Linked DNA regions of Drosophila melanogaster. The gene in region 1 interacts genetically with each later gene. Each region holds a gene or a part of one and is shown in the gene's direction. Other genes may lie near its edges.

Region 1 (6,530 bases):
TTTTCCTTGTTTGTCCCTTTCCTTGCCCCGTTCTGCTGCGGGAGAACACCTGAATTTTCTTTCTTTCGACATTAGCATAATCGGCTGTAGTAGTAGTTGTGCCGTGGAAATTAAGTTGGCGCTGGATCTGCCCCTGTGCTGCGCCAGAAACTTACTCCGTGGCACACGCGGCGTATGCGCAATGTGCGGCAACTGTTGCTTGGACCCAAAAAGGGTGCTCCGCTTCCGTTCCCACCGTCCCCTCCACGACTCAATAAATATGCATGAGCAGGAGGCCAAGGGGCTTCAATTAAATTTACTCAAATTGCGGTTGACGGGACAAACGGCTGCTGGTGTGCAGCTTTTTTCTGCGTGAAGGAGGTCGGAAATTTGCATGCAAATATTTTCGGCATTTCCTCTGCTGGAAATTTATTTGTTTTTTTTTTTTTTTGTTTTTTGCCCTTACTATTTTTTGCATTTATTATGAGCGTAGGCAGAAAAAGCGGCACAAATTAAGACGCCAGCTCGTTGATGCGTGTCCTGGTAGTGTTAAATTGCGAAATGAACTTAAGTGAAATGAGCAAAAGGAGCTGGAGGAGCACGAGCTTTAATGGCCAGCATTCTGGTCCTTCCGTTTGGCTCCAAATTGGCGGCCTGGATGGGGGATTCCAGGAGCCTGGCAGAGCAAACATGAACGAAAAAACATGAAACGTGCCCAGCCTGCTAAGGACATTCATTACGCAAGCTATGAAGCTGCCTTCTCCGAACTGAATCCAACCATCGCAGCCATACCCACACACCCCCCCCCCTCCACTTCCTACCCATGGGCTTAGTGGGCTGGCCACGCCTCCTATTGAATTATTCCAGTTTTATTTCTCGCCATTTGGCTTGGCACACACCGAGGCATCCGACTCGGCCGTGAAGCTGACTCCTTGCCGCCGGTGGCCCGGTTGTTGAACCACAAACACCCAGACACACAGAAACACTAAGCACCAGCACGCAGCAGAGGCAAAGACACCTGTTGATTGGGCCTTTCAGGTTATTTGAGCCAAAGCCAATGCCAAAGCAAAAGCAAAAGCGAAAGCCAAACCCGAAGACAGTGGCAGTGGCAACAAGGCGATTTCCCCTCAGCTTATGTGGGCTCAATTTTGTAGTCGAGCCGGCTTCCTTCTAATGGCCATGGGATATTGAATCGATTGACGGGGCCGCAGGATGAGAGGGCGGGCAAAAGGATGGGCAAAGTGGAAAGTGGGTTGCTCTGCAGCTGAGCGAAAAGTCGTTTCGCCTAAGCAACCGCAGCCCCTTTGGAGCTGCTTCCTTGTTTGTGCTCGTGTCGACAACAATTGATTTCAAAATATTAATTAACCGGATAAACCAATTGAAGCTTCCGGAGAAGGTAAGGGCAAATGAAACCGTGCAAACTGTGCTCTTTGTAAGAGTGTGCAAATTTGGCATTTCCTTGTAATTGGTCACCGAATTGATCAATTGAATGAATCTGTAGAAATTTAGATGCCATTTTGCTGGGAAGCTAACTTAGATAGAACATGCTAGCCTTCAAGAACAAAATGACTTGAGACATCTAATTATCCTGATTATATTTGGGGTTTAGAGTTGCGATAAATTCAGCTTCGACCAAGTGGAGGTCAGCATTTCGGATGATAAAATGAGATCTTGTGCGGACGGAGATAAGTTTTCCAAATGCCTGGTCGTTTGGAGGATTGTTATGTTTATAGCTCCATTACACTGACAAATTGGAAGATCTTCGTCTTGAGTTCCACATCGTGACTCGTACTTATCAATAGTGTTCTCAATTAAATTCATAATTTAATTATAATCAATTACGCGGTCTGTTGGTTTCGGGCGAACCTTCAGTTGGTGCTTCCAATGATAAGTTGCTGGATAATGATGACGAGGGGTATCAGGTGTATCTTGAAATTTAAGTATAATTTAATTAGTTTAAGTAAGCTGAACTTATAATCTCCAAGATGCGTTTTTCCCCACAGGATCGTCGAATTGCTGAGCCTTCGAGAATCTCTGGCCCGTTTGAAGCCATTCATCGCAACAATGATCAACGATCAATACTGAACATAGGAAATAAATTTGAGAAGATTCAAGTCCAGTTGAACATTTCTTGGAGAGTAGCTAATTTATACGTTTAACGAACGCCATCTACACTTCGTTCTATCTGCCACTTAAAATTATTTTGCTTATACAGCGCCACCTATGTTTGGAATGCAAGAAGACGCGCGTATTGTATTTGGTATTTTATTATCTCTTGAAATTGAATACACATAACTATAACGTTGGCAACTCTCCATATCTGTAAATATTCAAGATGGCAACTATCGTAGTGTGTATATTTTAATCTGGCAGCTCCAGTAATTTTCACGCTTGCAGTTGATATAAAAAGTACATAAAAGTATGTTATTTCCAAATTGAGGTGAAAAATTAAACATATTTTTAACTTGGTATTTTAAATTAGCAATTATTAATGAGAGTATTGAAATCCAAACATATCCAGATATTAATATTTGAAGGTAGCATAGTAACAACTTTCGGTAAATAAATATCCAGGTATATTTAAAATACTTAACTTTTCATTTTAAATAAACCAGACTGTTCGGACTATTGACAAATTATAATAGTAATTTTATTCATAATGCAATATTTACAATTACATTTTCTTAACCGATTGCCATCCCGATTTCTACACCGGCTTATTCGATACAATAGGCCGATAACTCTCCATTTGGTAGTCACGACTTCTAAAATATCGATACGTTGGAATTGTGTAAATTTTCCACATCCCTGGGAATAATCGAGTTAAATTAAAATAACATGGCGTTAAGGTCGGATTACGAGGTGAGCAAAAATAAAGCCTGGATTACGATGAAAACTAAGTTAGTTAAGTGAGAAAATGGTTAAGTTTAAACTGTTGTTAGACCATGACGAGGGAACCAAAAAGAACCAGGGCCAAAACAAATTGGCCAAGTGATACGCTGAGCGGGCGTTGTTTTTAGTGGGAAAAATCGAAGCCCGAGTGCGCTGTGTGGGTGTGTGCGTGTATCTGTGTTGTGTACATTGCTTTTGGTGTTGTTCTTGCTGCTGCTGCTGCTACTACTATTTGTTTTGTTGCTGGTGAAAAAGCGAGAAGCAACGACAACAACAACAAAGCCGAGGCGACGCCCAACGAAGTTTACTAATTTGTTTGCGGGCTTTCGGTAACTGCAAACGGAATCGAATGTGAAACGGGGCGCAGTTACTAATCCTATTGGATCTGGATGGGCCTATATCCGCTTACCTGCTGATCTGTAAAAATAGCCTGGGCTTAGAGCCTGGCTTTTGACTTTTTTCTCGAATTTGTATTCGCTCTCCCTTTCTCTTGCTCTCTCTCTCTCTCTCTGCCTCTCTGTCTCTCTCTCTCTCGCTTTCCAGGTGCGCTTAGCTGGCATGCGCAATTTGCATTTCCAGGCCGACCAGTTTCCCAAATTTTCCACTTTCCCGGCGCGAAAGCTTTTCGCTTTTCCGTGCTTGGAAATCTTCCAGTTTTCGGCTTACATAACCGGTACTGCTGCCGCCCCTCCCGAACCACGCCCCATTCCGCCGCATCTCGCAGATTTCATTATTGGAATCTCGAGCTCTAGAACGAAACTACCCTGCATAACACGTTTATTTTTCCATTTTCCGTGCTTTCCCTCCTTCCGGAATTGGTGTCATTGGGCCGAGTAGTGCGCTGCTAATTACACACACTGGCACATTAGCGTAAATCGACGTACTTCTTACCGTACTTTTTTCTCAGTACGTAGCCCTTACTTTCCCTTCCCTACCCCCTCACCATTCGATTAGTTACTAAATGCCCCACCGATGACGCCACTTAATTACCCCGCAGAAGGTAATGAGTTCTTCGCCAGGGTTGTTGTTTCCACCCGGGCTTTCGGTTCTGTTCCTAGGGCTAGACCACCAATTCTAAGTCCGTATTGCCAGCTCTATTGATTTTGGGGCTTGTCTAAGGGCAGGTCACACACACGCACGCACCCACACACATACTGGTTCGACGGCCCGAAAGTATGCAAAACTATAGAGCAAGCGGTCTGAATCCACTCGCAACAAACAGTGGGTCCAGATATTATTTGTAACGGGAAAACTTGAAAAGAACGCTTAAGACCTCACTTAGACTTGAAAGTGTCTTGTAGAATATATTTAGATATTATTATATAATTATTATAATATATATTATATTGTGCATATTTGTATTGTTATAAAATTAAGTATGTAATTCCAAAATTACGTCTTTATTAGTATTGTAGTGGTATGCATATTTTAAGAATCAAAATAAGTTACGCAAATTATTTTAAGTTTAAAAACATTTGTGGTTGGGTTTATTGGGTTGGGTTTCATACAATTAATTTTATAAAATATGACGCATTTCCCAACGGATTTTCAAGGGCAAATTCTGATGATAATATTGTTGGTGTAGAATACAACGTTGCATAATTATTATAATTCAATCTGCCGGACTACGACATCTTATATCTTAACCCAGTGTGCTCAGTGGAAATTCTATTATGATTTCACGCACAAATCCGCGTAAAGCTGAGTTATGTACGAGTATATCTCACATCCCCCCACCAGCGTTGTGGCTTCGTTTTGTATGCTGACTCATGCGCTTTCAATTGAAGTCAATTTAAGAAAGCACATCAAAAATCATGAAACTACAATCTGACGATGCTCTAAGAACGCGATAATGAAGTTCCCTTCCTCTCAATGTGCGTTCCATAAGTAAATGATTTGGAATTAAGGGCCAGCCAAAACGAGAACTAGTTGGTATATGTATGTATGTATGCATCTACCCGTTTATCAGTCGAAAAATGCAGATAAAGCAATTAAGAGTTTATGGAGAGGACGGCAAATAAGCTGAATAATGTGCTTCCAACGTGGTAATGGCAGGTTCTAAATGCTAACACCCAGGATTTGAATACTATCAGCAGTTATCAGCGTTGACATGTAGTACACACACCTATACTATATATTAACCAGATATTTTGTGCACCCGAATAGACGGGCCCCTTCCCTTTTTGACCAGTTTTACCCGGCTCGGAGATTTTAGGTTCGCGTTAACTACTTAACAGATTGCCGATGGCAGTAAAAGCGACAGTGATAATAATTACAACTGGAAAATACCAGAAAACCGTCCGACAGAGGTGGTGACTTGCTTTCGGCAATCAAAGCGTGGCAGCAAAACAATATTGGCCGTTTTAATTCAATTACGCGCCAATAAAAATCTAATCAACTGACAATGGCAAACCGTTTGAATAGATCTTGTTGGAAAAAGCCATCTACGCTATGTGGGCATCATCAATTGGCGGCCATAATCGCAAGATGTGGAAATTATCACCTCGCCCATTGACTGTTTGCTGTCACATCCAGCACACAGATTGCATTCGACAAGGACTTCGATTTGTTTCGCTGCGGTGTGATATTTGGCACATGCCCAGTTTGCGTCAATGGGTAGGGTCTTAATTACTAACGATTGCATAACCCGCTATTAGGGGTCTGGGCCTCCAGTTTCCCAGGTATCGGTATCTGTATCTGTGCCTTTGCGCTATATTTACCTTTCGTCTGCTTATCAGATAACACTCGCTCGACCAACACTTGTAGATTAAGTTCTAGAGCGGTACGTTGATTTATTTTCGTTTTCGTTTGTTTTCGAGTTGGTCTCCAGCTTGTAGGTCTCTCAAGGTCCATCGATCATTACCCTTCAGGGGTGGCTTAGTTCCGAAGGGGTAGTTTATTGTCCAGCTACCTGAAGTAGCTGAGCCGGAGCTCAACAATGGCTCAATTGTTCCTGTTCGCCACCGGTTCAAACGAGTTTCGGGCGGTAAGACGAGATTTGTGAATCTCCAGAACTCTGAACTCGTCTTGTGTCACGCACTTAATATTGTCTGAACGACAACAATTACCGCAATTACCGCGAACGCATTGTGGGAGGAAGTAAACGAGCTGGGTCGAGATTAAGCCGGCTCCACTGGGCAATCTGTAATGCATAGCTAAGGAAATGACATAACTTTCGAATATTACTCGGATTCAATTGGCCGGTAAAATGGGAAGGCATAACAAATGAATAAACACAAAAAACAGCGGGCGATCCAACTATTCTAGATCGAGTAAATAAATATATAACCCGCAAGAACTCGCTAAAATCGGATTTGGCTGCCACTTGTCCGTGGGATTTCTTTTGGCACTGGAGATCCATAAAAAAATAGCTACATATACCTGCCTGCCATAAATGTTAAAATCTTGGCATTTCGAAACGAAAATGGAATGGAAAATGTTTTCCAAATGATGCAAACAATTGAAAGATTGTTCGAATTCTCGCAGAAGATACATACAGTTGTATATGTAGCTCAATTGTGTGTGAATCTGTGCCTGTATCTTTTGATTCGCACTTTGCTTGTTGCCCGACGCTCCTTAAATCGTCATAATAAATTTTTATTTAATTTAATGCCTCATATGTGACGACAATATCAGCAATTGCCGCCACTTGCACACAA
Region 2 (9,637 bases), on another chromosome or scaffold:
GTGACGACACCAGATGTATCTACACTGTACATTGTATCTACATTACAGAGCTAAAATATCTATAAATATTATAAATATAACAAAAAAAGAGTAAAATATTATTAAAAACACAAAAAAAAAAACAAAAATAATTCGTTCCTTGGTTGTTTTTATTTTCGTTGTAGTTCAGTATTTTTGATTTTCAGTAACTGGTTTTCCTCTCTCCTTTCCAAATCGGCTTCGATTCCGAAATCCTATAATCCCGATCGTTTCGAGAGGCTTTCGATGTTGTCCCTGTACCCAGACATACATATATTAATGATCCGTAACCCCCTATTCAAACAGTTGTCTAAATTATTAATTTAATGTGAATTTGAGAAGAGCTAAAGTCGTCAGATAAATTCAAATAGCGTGTGAGTACATACATAGATGTATACCTAACTAACAACACCGATCATATATATGGAGTACACTAAACTAACATAACCTAACGTAAACTAAAATAAAGAATAAATGAATGAATTAACTACCTCAGCTTTGAATATTTCTATAGAAATGTTATTAAATGTATTTGAAAAGCGTAAGAGATATACAAATGCAAGATGCCGCCAGATCGAAAGATAGTTAATAAAAAGAAAGACAGATGGAACAGAACAATGTCAAAGAATACAAGTTTTAGAGCTGCATTTATATAGTATCAGATCGATAAGGAACATAGTAACAAAATCGTAAAACAAAACCAAAAAAAATATATTAAGTGTACGTTTTGCATATTCCTATATAGTTAACTAAACGTAAAAGCAAGATGGGTAAACATGAATACTACTATAACAATCATTTTGCGTCCATTTTTGTTGTTTCCTATACAAGAAAAAATTAAATAAAAACAAAAACAAACCACAAAAAAAAAAAATAAACAAAAAAAAAGCGAACGAATAAATCACACAAATAGGATGAAAACAAAACTATATTCCCAATTACATTGTATAACTGTCTTTTAACCACAAGCAAAACGCTAACACAATCGGTACACGATAACCAATATACTATACATATATCAAATATCCACTCTGTGTATGTTTTGTATCTGCCATGGAATATGTACCCGAAAGTAATCTAGATAACCACGTAAAGGACATAGGACTCGATGTCTAGATGTGTCGTCATAGTTTAGAGGCCCCAGTATTTACTAGCCAGTACTTTGCATTTGTTTGCCTTTATCTTTTACCTTTACCATTGCCTTTAAATTAACCCCTCTGTCCAACCAACGAAATTCAAAAGAAAGGGTTCTTCATTTGATTACCATACCCCTCAGCACGCCCAAAACTCCTAGTATTCTGGCCTGTCCCAGGGTGCTGATTCAAAAACTAGAGATATACATAGGTGTATACATAACATACTAATCTGCGTAAGATGTTTTCCCCATTTCGGTGTAACTAAATGTTAATATTGCTAGCGCTCAATACGAAATTACCGTATACAAGACCCACATACAGCAAATAAAAAGACACAAAAGCTTACTAAATTGTATCCCAAGGCCAAGGAAAATATTAGAAAACCAGATATACAACTAACTCAAATACAATTTTGTGAACATGTGAAAAACAAATCGAAAAGAAATTTACTCAATAAATGATTTTTCGTATATAAGAAGTGCATTTTGAATCAAGTTTTGCGATTATCCTTTTCAACAACGTTTTAAAATTAAGAATATGATATTTTCGAAAAACATTTTTCAGAATAACTTGGCCAAAAAAGGTGGCTCAGCTAAAACGATGACTGTTTTGTGTTGCTTATTAACATTGCTAACAATCTGTAACACTTTCAAACCGAGTTTCAGGAATAATTTTTTTGACCAATTTAAGCAATTTTTCATTAGGGGTACCATCATCAAAATTCGACAAATTACCGATTTTCTCATTTTCGATAACCAAATTTGCAAAAAATGGCCAAAAATTAAAGTTGCCAGACTTAAATACAGTTCGATGAGGAATTTGGAACGATTTCAACGAGGTATGAGATATTCCAATTTTGGACAAACCTTTGATTTAATATAAAAAGAAAACTTTTGTTTTTGTAAAAAAAAGAGCAATTAAAAAACCGCGTTAAATGCAATACATTCAAACTAGTTTTTATCATAGTTTGGCAAAAGGAGGTCGTACAGGTCGTTGTTAATTTCCCAAAGAAGCGTGCAGATTAATTGTAATGAATCCATTATTAAAACATAAAATAGTCTTTAACTTTTGTGTAATTCAGAACTCGCAATAATATAATATATAATATAAAATAATATAACATAATGGGAAAGTCGATGTAAAAATATTTTTAAGGTATTAAAAAATATCGATATTGATGCTTCAATCCCCGCTTGCCTTAATTTTATAATAAAACGTAATATACTGGTTTTAATTACATCAAAAATAGCCATATTTATTTATACTAGCAAAAGTTACCGACAAAAATATCACGAATAAAAACCGAAATCTAGCTGAATATCGATAGATCGCCGAATAAATACCAGTTAAAGCAACTATCGATATGCGGTATTTTTGCAGCTTTCATCCCCAAGTCACTGGGCCCTCGAGACCCCCACCACTTTACGAATTTCATTCGCCAAGTGAGCACGCGGCTTCGTCTGATTCTGCAAAAGAAGTTTTTATTCTGTGACTTTTGTGAGAAGTTATCAACTGAAGGTATTGTGCTATTTTCTATATCTATTACATTTGCGAGGCTCTTTTGCTTAACAAGAAAAGAGACGGTGTGCCCCGTACCTGCCATTGATTTTTTTTTACCCATTAATTCACGTCACCTTGCGCTAGATTCTGTAGTTATGTAATGTGCTAATTTTTTTATTGTGTCGGTGTTGGTTTAAACTAACGTTTTTTTTTGTATGTTCGACAAGCAGTTCCGGTTTAACTGCATCGAAAAGAAATCCCGAAATGGGACTTGAAAATACCCGAAAAGTGCTTACATAACCCTTGCGAAAAATAATTGTGCCGAAATTGTGTTTGCCATCAATTAAACACGTAATAAATTGGGCGTATTAGCAAACTTTTCGGTATTTTATACCCCCAATCCAAAGTTCATTTAGAATACCCAGAAAGAAAATGGAAGAAGCCACGCTGGATCTTTTTCCCATCTATTTCCTTCCAATTTGCAACCACGCTGGAACTGCCAACTTATGCAATAGCAACGAGTTGGCAGGCCGGCTCGTCTGTACGAAAAAATGTTGCACATGAATTGCGATTATATTTCAAAGAGAATTGCACTTCTCTAGAATCAAATTGGCCTGCATTTGCACAAATATATTATTATATACACCAAATGCAGGCTATTCTATAGTAAAACGCGTGGCAATTGATTGTTCTACCGCCCAGTCGCACATGAGTGTGTATGAACACACAGTTGCGAATAAATTCCATGTGCCACTAACGCCCTCTCGCTCACTCCCATGCCAGACACCAGCTGCGCGTGCAAGTACTTATCGGGTGTGTGTGTGTGAAGAAGAGAGAGAGAGTTGGTTTTATTTCTTAAGAGTAATGTAACTATTTCTCTTTGGTTGCCTCCCTTTCTTTTCTGACCTGCTTTCTTTTATTAAAGATAAAAATTCATGCGAAAAAAACGGGTTTCCCCAGTGTTCTCATTTCTTCTATTATTATTCCATTCCCATACCCCTTAAACCCTTTCTGACGTCAATCGTTAATGTACGTATAGTATTCATGTGATTTATTGTTTATTGTAGCCCTTTGTGTGGCCTTTTAGTGCGATTTTGCACTTGGTTGAGATTAGTGTTTATTATTACATATCCCTGGCGAATCACATTTCCAATTCTCGCCCAGTCGGCGGAAATTTTCAGTGTGATTTTCAAGCCGATCCACGCCCTGTCCTAAAACCCCGATTCATCGCACACTGAGCCATAAAAATTATAACTTCGCTGCCGTTTAATTTTGGCAATTAAGCATTTTTGCAGTAACTTTGCAACTGCATTTTTTACGCTCTCTTTTTTGATGGGCAACTAGCTCTCTTTTATTTTTTATGTAATTTTTGTGATAACGGGACCTTGAAAAAGTGTCGTAGACAGTTATATAAATTAACTGTATTAGCAGAAGTGTTTATCTAATCGCTTCACGCATTTTTTTTCGAGCGCCGCCCCTCTTCCGCCTGCGTGAAAGAGACGAAGCGTGAGAGAGAGGGAGAGAGCGGCAGGTGGACGTCAGAAAGCAAAGTCACATGCTAGCAGTGCTGCCAACCCTATCTTTAGAAATAAAGCCAAATGTTATTAATAGCTTAGCAATTAAATAGCTACAAACAATTAATAAAACCTTTCAACTCTTTTCAACTTTTATTTTTATAAAAATTGATAATAGTTTTGGTTTTTGTATTTGAATAAATTGTTCACTGCTGTATATTGAAGTTTTCTAAGCCAGTCCAAGTAGTTCTTAAAACTGAATATCAAAGATACCCCAATTTTGTTGAATAAGGAAGACATGTATTTGGGTGTAATAGAAGTACACTATTCAATCTTCTAGAAATCTAGCTAACAACTAGCTAAACGGGACTATCCGTCTGCTTCGCAGCTGACTTGTCGGCTATTTGCCAAATGTAAATGTTGTGCGTACATTCATTTTGGCAAGCGTTTAGAAAGCGCCGTCGAAAACCTCGAAAGGGGTAAATGAAAAACAATTGGCCATATATGCATTTTTGGTCATGGCCAAAACGAAACAAAAAGTGTTTTCTAATGAGTACAAGTGTGTGGTACAATACTTCCTCTTATGCAACGAATGGCGACATTGAATTCTTGAATTCTCAGCACTGATAAGCGGCGATCTCTCGCCCTCTCTCGCTCGCACACGTGCTGTTGCCAACCGCTAGTTTTTTTTCGGCTCTCTCCGAATTTCGCATACTCTGCATATGCATATAGAGAGAGAACGCTCTCCCCCTCTCTCGCTCACGCTCATCTGTTGCTGAACTTGACGATGGCGGCGACTGCGACGCCGACGTAGGCAGAGCAGGCTAGCTGGCAGATTTCGGCGAAAGGAACTTTCACAAGCAATTCAGTTGCCGTCCGGTTCAGACTTCTGACTTCCGAGGAATAAGGATAAATTTTTTTCGGTTTTGTGCTGTGATATAGAAACACAAATACAAATTGTACGTATGGCAAACAAATTGGATATCAATTATCGAATCGAATTGAGCCATAGCCCATTTAACAAAATACGCGTGTGGTTCCTAATGCTTTTATTATTATTTTTTTTTTTTAAATCAAATCCAACCTGAGCATTGAAAGAAAATCTGCCTGGTTATGTAAAACAACAAAAGAGTTGAACTTGAATCATTCATTGAACAATTTTTTTTCTGGTGTGTGGTGGTGGTCTTATGCAATCAATAACAATGAATTAAGAATAAACTTAACACTGGATTGTGGATACTACTACGACTGCTCAGCCTTCGGTGGAAGCTTTCCACGTGCAACTGTAGAATTTTTCCAGCTGAGGCTATTACATCACGAGCCTTTTAGCTCTCGGCTCTCTGTGGCTGTGGCCGAAGAAAAAGCTTCACTCTCTTTCCAGCCAATCAAAAGTCTAACACGATTAGATAACGGTTGTTATTTCAAAGAAAGAGAACAGAAGAGAAACGAAACAATGGCAAAGCACAGTTCTCTTTGCCAAGTGTGTTACATAAAACCCTTGTCAATGAAATGCTGATTTAATTTCGCTAAAATATAATTTAAACCACACGGCTAACGCAGAGCGGCGGCTGCTCTTGAAAGTCTAAAATTAACAAAACGCGCTTCAATGGCGAATGCCAACTGCCAAAAAAAAAAACCGTGGCCTCTATAGCCATCTTGCTCACACCCACTCAAATGCCCATATATATTGGCTTTTTCCATTGAACTTTTTCAATTCAATTCTTTTCTTTTTTTTTGTGTGGTGTGGCAATTATGCAATCCCCCAATCTTTACTCAATGAAAACCAGTAGACTGCCGCTCTATCCAACTAGAACTGCAATTGATTTATGTCATATTCTCTAGATAACATAAATTAGATAAGCACTTATGTATTTATGTATGCCACGTAATGCCATGTATTTTACTTAGTTTTCAAAGCTAACTGGTTAGAACTTAATTTTCCAACAGTACTTATTTTATATCGATTTAAACCACCACGTGGCAACCAGCCGGCCAATAAAACTTTTCACCTTTTTTGCACAAAACCAGTTTTACCGGCAACTGCCAACACGCATACTAACACAAACAACAAATAATTGTAACCAAAACGCTGATGTTTCCATAAACCATTCAATATTAACCCCCTTTAGCATTAAGTTTAAGTTGCCATTTATACTAACTGTGCATGTTTTTATTTGTTTCATTTGTCGCTAAAACCTTTTTACTTCACCCGCAAAAATGTTTTGTAACCATTTGTAGTGCTGTTCAAAAAAAAAAGTGCATGTTTTTCGGTTTCGGTTTATAACTGTTCAAAAAAATAAAAAAAAAGTGCATGTTTTTCGGTTTCGGTTTATAATTTAATACATTGAAAATTTTCACATTTTCATTTGGCTTTGGGCTATTCTTCTATTGTGCCTTTTTTTGCACCCGTGTAAACAAAGTGAATCGTACATCCACTATACAAAAATACCGTAAACGTATATCGTAACCATTATGCAACGCACCATCACCCGCATGCCATGGGGAATATATCAGCATCCATAACATCACAAAGGTATATCATCATCGGTATCACCAAGTATCACCATCAGCGATGACGGAACTGTCGAGATTAATCAGAGTTTTGGCCAATTGCACGATGTGTTTACAGCAAAATGGGCAAGGATTTCGATGCTGTTGGATTCGTCAAGGATTTCGCTGCCGGAGGCATCTCCGCAGCTGTCTCCAAGACTGCCGTCGCCCCCATTGAGCGTGTGAAACTGCTCCTGCAGGTTCAGCACATCTCGAAACAAATCAGCCCCGACAAGCAGTACAAGGGCATGGTTGATTGCTTTATCCGCATTCCAAAGGAGCAGGGATTCTCGTCCTTCTGGCGCGGCAACTTGGCCAACGTCATCAGATACTTCCCAACCCAGGCTCTGAACTTTGCCTTCAAGGACAAGTACAAGCAGGTGAGACTTTGCAGTCTGCATGTTAGCAATGCGAGCGGAAAACACTAACGCCCCGGTTGCTATTATGTGTGTAACTTAGGTCTTCCTGGGTGGCGTGGACAAGAACACCCAGTTCTGGCGCTACTTCGCCGGCAACTTGGCCTCCGGTGGTGCCGCTGGTGCTACCTCTCTGTGCTTTGTCTACCCCTTGGACTTTGCCCGTACTCGGTATGTTGGTATATTTGCGAAAAACAAAAAAAAAATGTCCAATAAACTAACGTAATGCTTTCGCTACGAATTTACAGCTTGGCTGCTGATACTGGCAAGGGTGGTCAGCGTGAATTCACCGGTCTGGGCAACTGCTTGACCAAGATCTTCAAGAGCGACGGCATCGTTGGATTGTACCGTGGTTTCGGAGTGTCCGTGCAGGGCATCATCATCTACCGTGCCGCCTACTTCGGCTTCTACGATACCGCTCGCGGTATGCTGCCCGACCCCAAGAACACACCCATCTACATCAGCTGGGCCATCGCCCAGGTTGTGACAACCGTCGCTGGCATCGTGTCCTATCCCTTCGATACCGTGCGTCGTCGCATGATGATGCAGTCTGGTCGCAAGGCCACCGAGGTCATCTACAAGAACACACTGCACTGCTGGGCCACCATCGCCAAGCAGGAGGGCACCGGTGCCTTCTTCAAGGGCGCCTTCTCCAACATTCTCAGAGGAACTGGTGGCGCTTTCGTGCTTGTGTTGTACGATGAGATCAAGAAGGTCTTGTAAATTAAATTATTAAATTATTCAAAACAAGCAAAATACAACAACATACAACAACAAAACAAAACAAAAGAAGTAAAACTAAACACTACCAGCTAATTATGTTAGATAACTGAATGAGAAAAGCTAAAACAACAGCAATAGCAACAGCAAAGGCATAAGCTAAGTTTGATCTGCAACCAACACCTCTTACCACGAACAACGGCAAGCAATAACAGCAAGAACCCTTCCTTCCTCACCCCGATATAATTATGAAATTATATTATTTATAAAAACTGGGAACTAATTTACGGAACGATGGCCAGCGTCAATAGAACAACAATACTACAGCAAACAGCAATGCTCGGGGCAGAGAGAGGATGCGACTCAGCACATGAGACTAGACCCACTACACTGAAAGACGAACGAACATAGCGACGATATCGATTAGTATTGTTAAGTTTGGGTTAGGCTATATACTATAGATCCAGTCATGTTGCTGGGTCGTCCCACATCTCCCCAGCCAAATCAGTGTTATCGATCGGATGCAAAGAATCGAACCGAAGACCTGTAGATTCTTTCGCCTCCGAAACGACAAACCAACAAACAAACTCAACTTCGGTTGGTTTAAAAATATATAAAAATTGATAAAAATAGTACAATGTTGTGTTTTTCTTTCTGCGCACGTACATATGTATGTATGTATATCGATCTTTCATATTTCGACTTGAACCCAATTATTGCAATGAAAGTACATATGTATTTGTAATTCAAAAATTATATTAGCATACTTACACAGACCATTTGTGCAGTCAACCAATTGGTCGTCTCAATTTAATCTTCGGCAGTTCGAAGCTAAATTATTATAATTATTTTCTGTTGTTAAAAGAGGAAAAAAACGTACGCTCATCGCTTCTAAAATTGTTGGTCAAAGTAGGCCACGATAAATACATCGAATGTCATTTCGACCGACTGGCACACAACCTCGTTAGCCAATCTCAGTTCAGATCTCAACGTTGTAACATCAAAATTAAAAATTGTAAAAAGTGAAAGTCCGTTTTTATCCTTTTTTACCAACCAACTTTGAAGCTAAACTAAATCGTTTTAAAATCATTAAACAGTAAACTAACATGGGCGATGAAGGCGGTGGCGGTGGTCATGGCAAGGGAGACCTTAAGTCTTTCCTCATGGACTTCATGATGGGCGGCGTTTCAGCTGCCATAGCCAAAACGGCAGTGGCTCCTATCGAGCGCGTGAAGCTCATTCTGCAGGTGCAGGAGGTTTCCAAGCAGATCGCGGCAGATCAGCGCTACAAGGGCATAGTCGATTGCTTCATTCGCATTCCCAAGGAGCAGGGCTTCTCGTCGTTCTGGCGCGGCAACTTGGCCAACGTAATCCGATACTTCCCAACTCAAGCCCTTAACTTTGCCTTCAAGGATGTGTACAAATCGGTTAGTTGTTTGGACAATCCTTATAATAATCATTTCACATACGCCTATAACATATAAAACATAAAACATACTACAGGTATTCCTCGGGGGCGTGGACAAGCACAAGCAGTTCTGGCGCCACTTTGCAGGAAACTTGGCCTCTGGCGGTGCAGCAGGTGCCACATCTCTGTGCTTCGTTTATCCACTGGACTTTGCCAGAACCCGGTAAGTTGATTCATTATATACACATTCAATTGGTTTTTTCATTTATACACATATACATTAAAAATTGATAATTTTGAGTAATTGAGGAAAACAATTCGAACCTTTACATACTTACTATAGTCGTTCAAAATAATCGATGTCCAAATGAGATT
Region 3 (8,160 bases), on another chromosome or scaffold:
TCAGTGGCGTCCTCCTCCTGCACCACCGACGGCGAAATCTCCTCGATCTCCACCGAACTCTGCGACACTAGATCCGCACGACTGCTGCATTTGGCCAGTTCACTGGCCAGCACTTGGCTGCAATCCGGAGCAGTGAACTCATTCGCAGGACCATGTTCCGGCGTGGCCGCAAAGTGGTTTTCATCTGGGCTTTTCAATTGAAAGCTTGTCACCTCGTTCGTTGGCACATGGTTGGGTTTGCTGGGCGCCGCAATTGAAGTTCGTTTTTGACGCTGCGCCGGCTTCAGTCGCACCTGCAGTTCGTAGTCCTCGCAACCGAGATCCGGCACTCCAGTGTTCAGGAATGTTATGTAGCCGCACTGCTGACGCAGGTCCAAAAGGCTGGACAGTTTGTGTACGGCCCGATGGGCAGCCCACTTCGCTTGGCGTGTGTCTGCCGCTTGGAACGGAAATGATTCATAGTGAAGCGCGCCGGCCGTGCGGATTCCGTAGCCTTGGAGCAGCACACAGCCGTTCTTGAGCTGAGAGTTCAGGCTGCGGAAATTCTCGGAATTGAGCACATACGCATCAGAGTGCAGGATGTTCACCAGCAGTTTGCCATAGCCCAGGAACAAGCGCGGCAAGGTCTTCAAAACAGTTCCCCGGCAGAGTAGCAAACTAGGCGGTCCATAGCCTGAATATATAGGTATTTAGAGAATAACTAGTGGGATAACAATATAAAGAAGTTTACCTGTGATATGATTGTAGAATAGCTTGCTCCACATGGGCGCCACATCGGAGCTGCGCAGGAATTGGCCGAAGTAAGGAATGCTAAATGTATGGCTGAGCGACGCCGTCAGCGGCGAAGCGGCTATTATAAACTTGTACTTCTTCTCCAGAACGCGATCTCTTGTCTGCTGATCCAAACCCTCTAGGCACTCTAATCGCAGCAGATCTAAACCGCCCGGCAGCAAATGTCGCAGTGAGCAAATGGTAGAACGCAGAATGACTGCGTGGGCGAAATAGCGCGACACGTCGCCTTCGCCTTCCGCATCCAGCAGCGAAACTTGCTCCAGTTCAGCCAGAAAACTGTCTAGACTCTCCTCGCACAGCTTGCCCACCTCAAACATGGTCACAGCGTGATTCTTCAAGCCGGGCGACAGATTGCCCATCATTAGAAAAGCGGTGAGCGTGGAGTCGAAGAGAAAGCCCACCCTCTTACCGCTTTTTGGCAAGACAGCCGCTGATATTGCAGCCGATGGAGCAGCCTGCTTTGGGGCACACATATCCTCTTGCTCCAGCTCGGAACTCAGTTCCTGCTCATCGCTGTTGTTCACTCTCTCCTGGGGTGTCGTATTCAGGTTGGCAAAGCTGAAGTCACTCGTGTTGCCATCCGAGGAGAGGTAGCCTATGGAACTGCTGTCCTTATCCTTGTCCTTCTCCCTTTCCTTGGGTGTCTTTGGCGATTTGGGACTTTGGTCGAATTCGAAGCTGCTACTGGTATGCAAATTGTAGTTCAGCGGTGTGATCTGCGGCGTATCTGGCGTTTGCTGCTGGTTGTATCCCTCCCAGCTGGAATGATTCGTCTGATTGACCAGATCTTCTTTGCGATGTGCGAAACCCAGACGGCAGATAAACGATATGGCCTGCTTAACGCTATCCAGTTCCAGTTGCAGCATCTGTGCCAACTCGGCAATGGTCATGTGCTCATCCGCGCTAACGAAGATCTTGTACAGCAGATTCTCAAAGTAGTCCCCGCTCACACGATTCATCACAAAGTTGCGCAGCGGCGGTATGGATATCCTGTCCTCCCCGCTAATGGGCACATCTAAGTAGATCAAACCCTTCCGGTACAGGCTGTGCACCACGTCGTGATCGCATTTCCCAGCCGGCTGGGCTCCAAAGTCAATCAAGTCATCGAGCAGGCCTCTTTCAGCGGGCGACAGATAGCGAATATCCGCTTCCAGGACATAGCCAATGTCCAGTCGCCACCAGGGCTCGATGTGTATGCGCACCGGAAAGCGTGGCAGGAAGTCCAGCGGATTGGGCCGCGACCCGAAGATCAAGGAGCGCGGTGTGTGAGTTTTCATATCGCTAATAAGGGCCAGGTACTCGTTGCGGCCAATGCCCAAGACACGCAGACAGTCGGCTGCTGTAAAGTTGGGCAAAGTATCGTAGCTTTTGTCGCTTTGCAAAAGCTGACCCAAAACATCCAGATAGTAGTTGAAGGGCGTCACCCTCAAGCCCTTGGTGACGATATCGGCCAGGTGGTAGGGAAATGCGCCCAATCCATTGATGCTCTTCTGTATCAATAGCTCGTAGTAGCGTTGCTCCCGGCGAAACACCTTGGCGGCCAGGTTGCCCCGGAACCTCAGCTGATTCTTTAGACTATAGTTAAAGACGAACTTCTCGTAGTCACGCTGATTGTTGTGCAGAACCGATCGCAGGTGCACGGGCAGCAGTTCCCAGGTGACATTCCCACGCACACATTGCTGCAGTTGGTTTTGGCAATTGGTTCCAGAGCCAGTGGTCGCATTGCCACCTCCGCTGGTGGCCAAATCCTCTTGCTCCGTCATCTTGCGACTCGGATTGGTTTCTCCGGCTGGTCGGACTAACTCATTGCATTCGCTCCGGCTACGGAATCCAGTATTTTCTTCCTGCGTATTATTTTTCTTTTTTTTTCGAGGAACGATAGATCCGATAATACGGACACGGTGTTATTGGTTTCATACGTCGACAGCTGATAAGACCGCCGGTGTTTTGCAGCACTGGCGAGCAACCAGTTTTTCGATAGTTCGATTATTATTAGTATTAGTCATAATATCCCTTGGAGTTTCACAATCACGTTTAAAAGTGCAAACATCCAACGGACGTCTATCGGCAGTGACTAACAATACTGTCCGATAAAGAATGTGCCTATCGGTGTGCTGTCGATATCACTAGTTCATCGATAGCACATCGTTTAGAATGATTTTCAATATTCGTTGCTGCCTGCTTCATTCATAAACACTTACGCTATTACAGTCAAAATTGTCAAAACGTTGACGAATTATCGAGCTTTAAAGGATTGCTATCAGATTGCAAGGAAGTCGGCGTTCAGCGCTCGACGAGCGGGCAACAGAGGCAACGGCAGCGGCTGAGTAGCTTCAGCATAAGAATTTTAGGTAGCCGCGACACAAAAAAGGGACATCAACATCGATTTTTTTTTGCTCCCATTTCGTTTTGTGAGTGGAGCAAAATCACTTTCGACAAACAAAGAAAGGGGCGGCGGCGGTGGGGGCGTAAAGTGCGCAGATTTCAGCGAAGATGAACGGTGGCGGGGGTGGCGAGGATGATCAGCATCTGCCAGGTGTTTCCAGGTGAATAACTTCAGCTACTTACGTTGTGGCATATTAAATCTGATTTTCTTTGCCCCCCATCAGTGCATCAGGATCTGCAGCTGGAGCGGTGGGCGGGCGAGCCACGCCCGAAATGAAGCGTTCGGCGGTGCGCAGCCTAATCAAGCGATACTTCCACCAACTACAATCCGGCTGTGGGAACGCCAACTGCAGCAATGCCAATTGCGCCTCCAGCGGCAAGGTGGCGCCCATGACGCCCAACGAGGTGGCCGCCAGAGCACTGCAGCTCTTTTCACAGGATGCACAGCTCTGCGAGGCGTTCACATCGGAGGCCAACAGGTGAGAATTCTCTTAACAAATGGAACTGGGTAGCAAAGTTTCCAGAGCACCGATAAGATTTTCTATAGGTAATTATCTTTCAATTAAATTTTTTCCCATTTTAGCCCCCAGGACGTGGACATGCTTTCGCCGAACGACAGTAGCAGTAGTAGCAGCGGCAGCTCGACAAGCACAATTACCTCAGCCAGTACCACCACGACAACCAGCAGACAATCGCAGTCAACGCCAGCTGCCGTTGTAGTGCCCGTATCCAGTCCATATCTTACCCAGAGTGTGCCGCAACTGGATATCGCCGGCGCTGAACACTCCTCCGGCGACTCGGAACCGTGTACACCCACCCTGGCGCCAGTCCACAGCTTGGATGCCAACAGTCTGATAGCGCTCTATGAGCAATGTAGGGCGGCTGACAGTTACGACAGGATTTGCCACGCAATCGGCGTTGTGTTCTCCAGCGTAGATAGACTGGGCAAGAGCTTCATTCGCAGCGCAGAACCAGCGGCTTCTAGTAGTCTCCAGGAGCTGCTGGCCAATTCACCGGGGGCTTTAAACAAGGAGCAGCTACGAACTTTGGAAGGGGAACACGATAAAGACGAAGACAGTACACAACAGGTGGACGAACAATCAGAATCGGCGGCTAATGCTACTGCTACTGCAGAATCAGTCGAATCAGAGGCGGAGCCCGAAGAAGAGGACGATGATGTGTGTTCATCCCAAAGCAGCGACACACTGGTGGATCTGCCCGGTTTGCGACGAGTGCAGCGTCTCCTTTTTGGCTGTCAAATACGAGCTATAACGGAGAAGCTTACCAGCAGCGTTATTCAGCTGTCTGACTGGGTGATTTACATGCGTACGGATTGGGAGAGGGTCATTCACTGTCTGGTCATCTGCTTTGATCTAGCCACCAATAGTGAGTTTTTCAATTGTATGCCTGGAATGTTTCAAGTTACAGCTTTTCTCATAACCCTTTAGCCAATAACAGTGTGGTGGACATGGACTATCTGGACAGGGTGCTGCCAAAATTGTGCCAAGCGGCGTCGGCCATGCCAGTGCCGGCACAGGCGCGCCTGGCCAGGATCTGGGCTGCTCATTGTTCAGATCAGCTGCATTCGTTGATCGCAGCCTGCCAGCAGCAAATTACTCTACAGGTGCTTTTGGACGAGGAATCCATGCGCGAGAACGAATCCATAATCAGTGTCACCAAAGTTTTAAAGGTATTTGTTAGGTTTATTATGCAATATGGCTTGTAATGCAGTTGGGTTAACTTCTTCTGTGATAGATTGTCTTCTACGCGAACATTCTGGCTAGCGAGCTGGAGCGACCGTCGTGTCGGGTGCCGCTGGAGGATCGAACGGAAGCGGCGACCGCATCTGGCAGCGCAGCAGTGGAGGACGACCTATTCGTCTACAACTCTTTGTTGGAGCCGCACATGCCCAAATTCGCCGAGGATCAGTTTGAAAAGGAGCTGCAGGTGTCGGCAATCGATTGCCGGAAACCACTGATACCACTTGAGGAGTTCTACAACGAGGCACTCAGTGAAAACATTCAGATGCACCACGACTACCTGTCCTACAAGACGTTAGCCATGGAGAGCGAGATTGGTTCCGGCCACGCGAACTATTTTTCGTTCATGCTGTACGCCTTTATCCTCACGCCGTCAACAAAAGTGGATGCCTTGTACTATGACAGTCGAATGAGGATGTATAGCGAGCGCTACTCCTCCCTTCACTCCATCCTCAACAATATTGGCCAGGTAGGACAGGAAGATAATCCTCGGCCGGATCTTAAGCTGACGGTGCGAAGGGACCAGCTCATCAACGACGCACTTATTGGGGTGTGTACAAATGGTTCTTTAGTGTCCTAGTTAACAGGCGTAATTAATACACGTTTAATTCCCCAGCTGGAAATGGTGGCCATGAGCAATCCAAAGGATCTCAAGAAGCAGTTGGTGGTGGAGTTTGTCGGCGAGCAGGGGATCGATGAAGGCGGCGTATCCAAAGAGTTCTTCCAGCTAATCGTGGAGGAGATATTTAACCCGGCTTTTGGAATGTTTATACAGCAAGAGGAGACCAACAATATGTGGTGGGTATTCAATTGGGATAAATCTGTTCAGTTGAACTATATAAATATATATATATACATATGCAGGTTCAATGCCACACCATTTGAGAACGGAGCGCAATTCACTCTGATTGGTATAATTATTGGCCTGGCGATCTATAACAACGTCACCCTGGCCGTAAACTTCCCCATGGTGGTCTATCGCAAGTTGATAGGCTATTGCGGCACGTTCGCAGACCTCAGCGACTGGAGTCCGGCGCTGTACAAGAGTCTGAAGTCCATGCTGGACTATCAGGGCCAGGATATGGAGGAGGTATTCGAACAGACCTTCAAGATTAGCTATAGCGATGTTTTCGGTGATGTGGTACAACACGAACTGGTGCCGAACGGCCAGGATGTACTGGTGGGGCAGCACAACAAGGAACTGTTTGTCAACCTGTACAGTGATTTCCTGCTTAACACGAATATCGAACAGCAGTTCAATGCTTTCCGCAAGGGCTTCGAAATGGTTACGGACGAATCGCCACTGAAGCTGCTCTTCCGTCCAGAGGAGATTGAAATGCTGGTCTGCGGCAGTCGTGTGAGTAGCTAAATTCAAATTACGAAATTCATTCGGTTGCTGAACTCTGAAACCTTCGGCAGGAATTCGACTTTGTGGAACTGGAAAACTCCACTGTGTACGAGGGCGGCTACACGGAGAAGAGCCAGTACATCCAGGACTTCTGGAGCATAGTGCATGCGATGCCCAGCGAGGACAAGCACAAGCTGCTCGAATTCACGACGGGATCGGCGCGTGTTCCGGTTGGCGGCCTGAAATGCCTGCGTCTGCTAATCACGCGTCACGGTCCGGATAGCGATCGGTTGCCTACCTCGCACACCTGCTTCAACGTTCTCCTCCTGCCCGAGTACAGCAGCCGCGAGAAGCTGGAGGAGCGCCTGATGAAGGCCATCAACTACTCGAAGGGCTTCGGCATGCTGTAGACTATGGTCCAAACTGCAAGTGCAAGTCTGTCATCTGGAACTGATACCACCACCTCTCTGGGAAGAAGATTTCGAAGACTTTGATCGGTTTGAGTTCGTTTTGGGTTCTGCCATTTATTTTTGATACGACCTGTTCAATGAGACAATATATACATACCCAATATATGTGCTCAATTTATATGGTGCGACGGCGAAGCGAGCAGACCGAACGGACACGCGATTTTGTTTCCCTTCTTTAGCCCAGTTAATTGTACATAAACACACACATAAACACGCCACATACTACATTATGTGAACTTACCCTAGGAACAACACCCACATTTAAAAACAGTACGCGCTGAATATTTTCCTAAATAAATTTAAAGTAGTTCGGCGAAGAAACAGATGTATTTTCCATTTAGATTGGTTTTCGCAAGTATGGAATATTTTTTAATATTAGATATTTTTAATTTAAACTAAGATTACTAACAAATTAAAATTGTGGAAAAAGATTCATTTAAATTATATTTACATATTTAATTTAGTATAGAAACATCAAATACAAAACATTTTGTAAGCAATATTTCACACTAGCTGACATTTAAATTTCGGTGTGAAGTACTTTTTATTTTTTAACTTAAAAAATAACTTGTTAACTTTATTTTTTATTTAGTCTAGACACATTTAAAAAAAAAAGAGGTGTGAAAGCCTTATTTCACAACAGCTGACTTGGGACTAGTGGATTTTTTAGGCCCTTTTTTTCAGGCGATATTTTCTAACGGCTTAGCCGCAGCCACACATTTGTTATTCGCGTTTCTGAGTTTCTTGCGGGTGGGACTCCCGATATTTTGTGGAGCGGAAGGTGTTTTGATTTCCTTAGCATTTAGCACAAAAAAATGCAACTAGTATAAAGTACTGTTCACTATAACAATTTTTAACCACCGATAGCGAGTGCTTCACTGTGTGTGCGAGTAAGAGAGAGAGAGAGCAACTAGCTCCAGCATCATGAGAATACAACAAAGCGCCTTGTTGTTGTTGCTGCTGGCCGTGACGTCGCAAGGAGATGCCGAGTCCAATTGGAATGGTTTGTTCTTAATTTCTAACTAGAATGAGTTCATCAGCAGCCATAGAAAATTATATTGCATTCATGTTTTCATATTTTTCGATCTTAAGTGCATTCCACTGCCGTACTTATTACACAAATGCACAGAGATAAAAAGGGATGTGATGCGGTTGGTTTTTTCTTATCATTCTTGATAAGAAACTAGAACATCCTTTTCTCGTTCAAAACATAAAAAGTCCGAAATGTAGTTTCCCCTTACTTTTTTCTGTGTATGTGCAGTACATATCTCAGAGAATTTGTTTATGATCCATATACCACCCGACCACATCTCTCCTTGCCTTTTAATTTGCTTTTGTTTTCGTTTCGCTTTGATGCTGCGGTCGTTTACTCTGGAATTGCTCGGAAAACGGAGCAGATGCAGAT

What was found.
Region 2: of Atpalpha (region 1) and sesB, changing one suppresses a phenotype caused by changing the other (phenotypic suppression), as found in Drosophila melanogaster (one study listed by BioGRID).
Region 3: of Atpalpha (region 1) and Ube3a, changing one suppresses a phenotype caused by changing the other (phenotypic suppression), as found in Drosophila melanogaster (one study listed by BioGRID).

What each region holds. Positions count from the first base shown.
Region 1 is NT_033777.3:20,945,989-20,952,518, forward strand, and holds the start of Atpalpha (Na pump alpha subunit), read left to right. Parts: upstream 1-2,791; 5' UTR 2,792-2,817; coding exon 2,818-2,841; intron 2,842-6,530. UniProt on the Drosophila melanogaster protein: This is the catalytic component of the active enzyme, which catalyzes the hydrolysis of ATP coupled with the exchange of sodium and potassium ions across the plasma membrane.
Region 2 is NC_004354.4:10,779,841-10,789,477, reverse strand, and holds sesB (stress-sensitive B), read left to right. Parts: upstream 1-2,570; 5' UTR 2,571-2,672; intron 2,673-5,019; exon of another isoform or gene 5,020-5,127; intron 5,128-6,588; 5' UTR 6,589-6,666; coding exon 6,667-6,701; intron 6,702-6,797; coding exon 6,798-7,098; intron 7,099-7,177; coding exon 7,178-7,305; intron 7,306-7,382; coding exon 7,383-7,857; 3' UTR 7,858-8,485; downstream 8,486-9,637. Other genes in the region: Ant2 (adenine nucleotide translocase 2), read left to right, coding at 8,961-9,281, 9,358-9,485.
Region 3 is NT_037436.4:11,205,332-11,213,491, reverse strand, and holds Ube3a (ubiquitin protein ligase E3A), read left to right. Parts: upstream 1-2,908; 5' UTR 2,909-3,285; coding exon 3,286-3,338; intron 3,339-3,401; coding exon 3,402-3,656; intron 3,657-3,760; coding exon 3,761-4,563; intron 4,564-4,625; coding exon 4,626-4,867; intron 4,868-4,932; coding exon 4,933-5,487; intron 5,488-5,553; coding exon 5,554-5,735; intron 5,736-5,801; coding exon 5,802-6,294; intron 6,295-6,356; coding exon 6,357-6,695; 3' UTR 6,696-7,070; downstream 7,071-8,160. Other genes in the region: CG7600 (uncharacterized protein), read right to left, coding at 1-673, 731-2,555; Plod (procollagen lysyl hydroxylase), read left to right, coding at 7,680-7,758.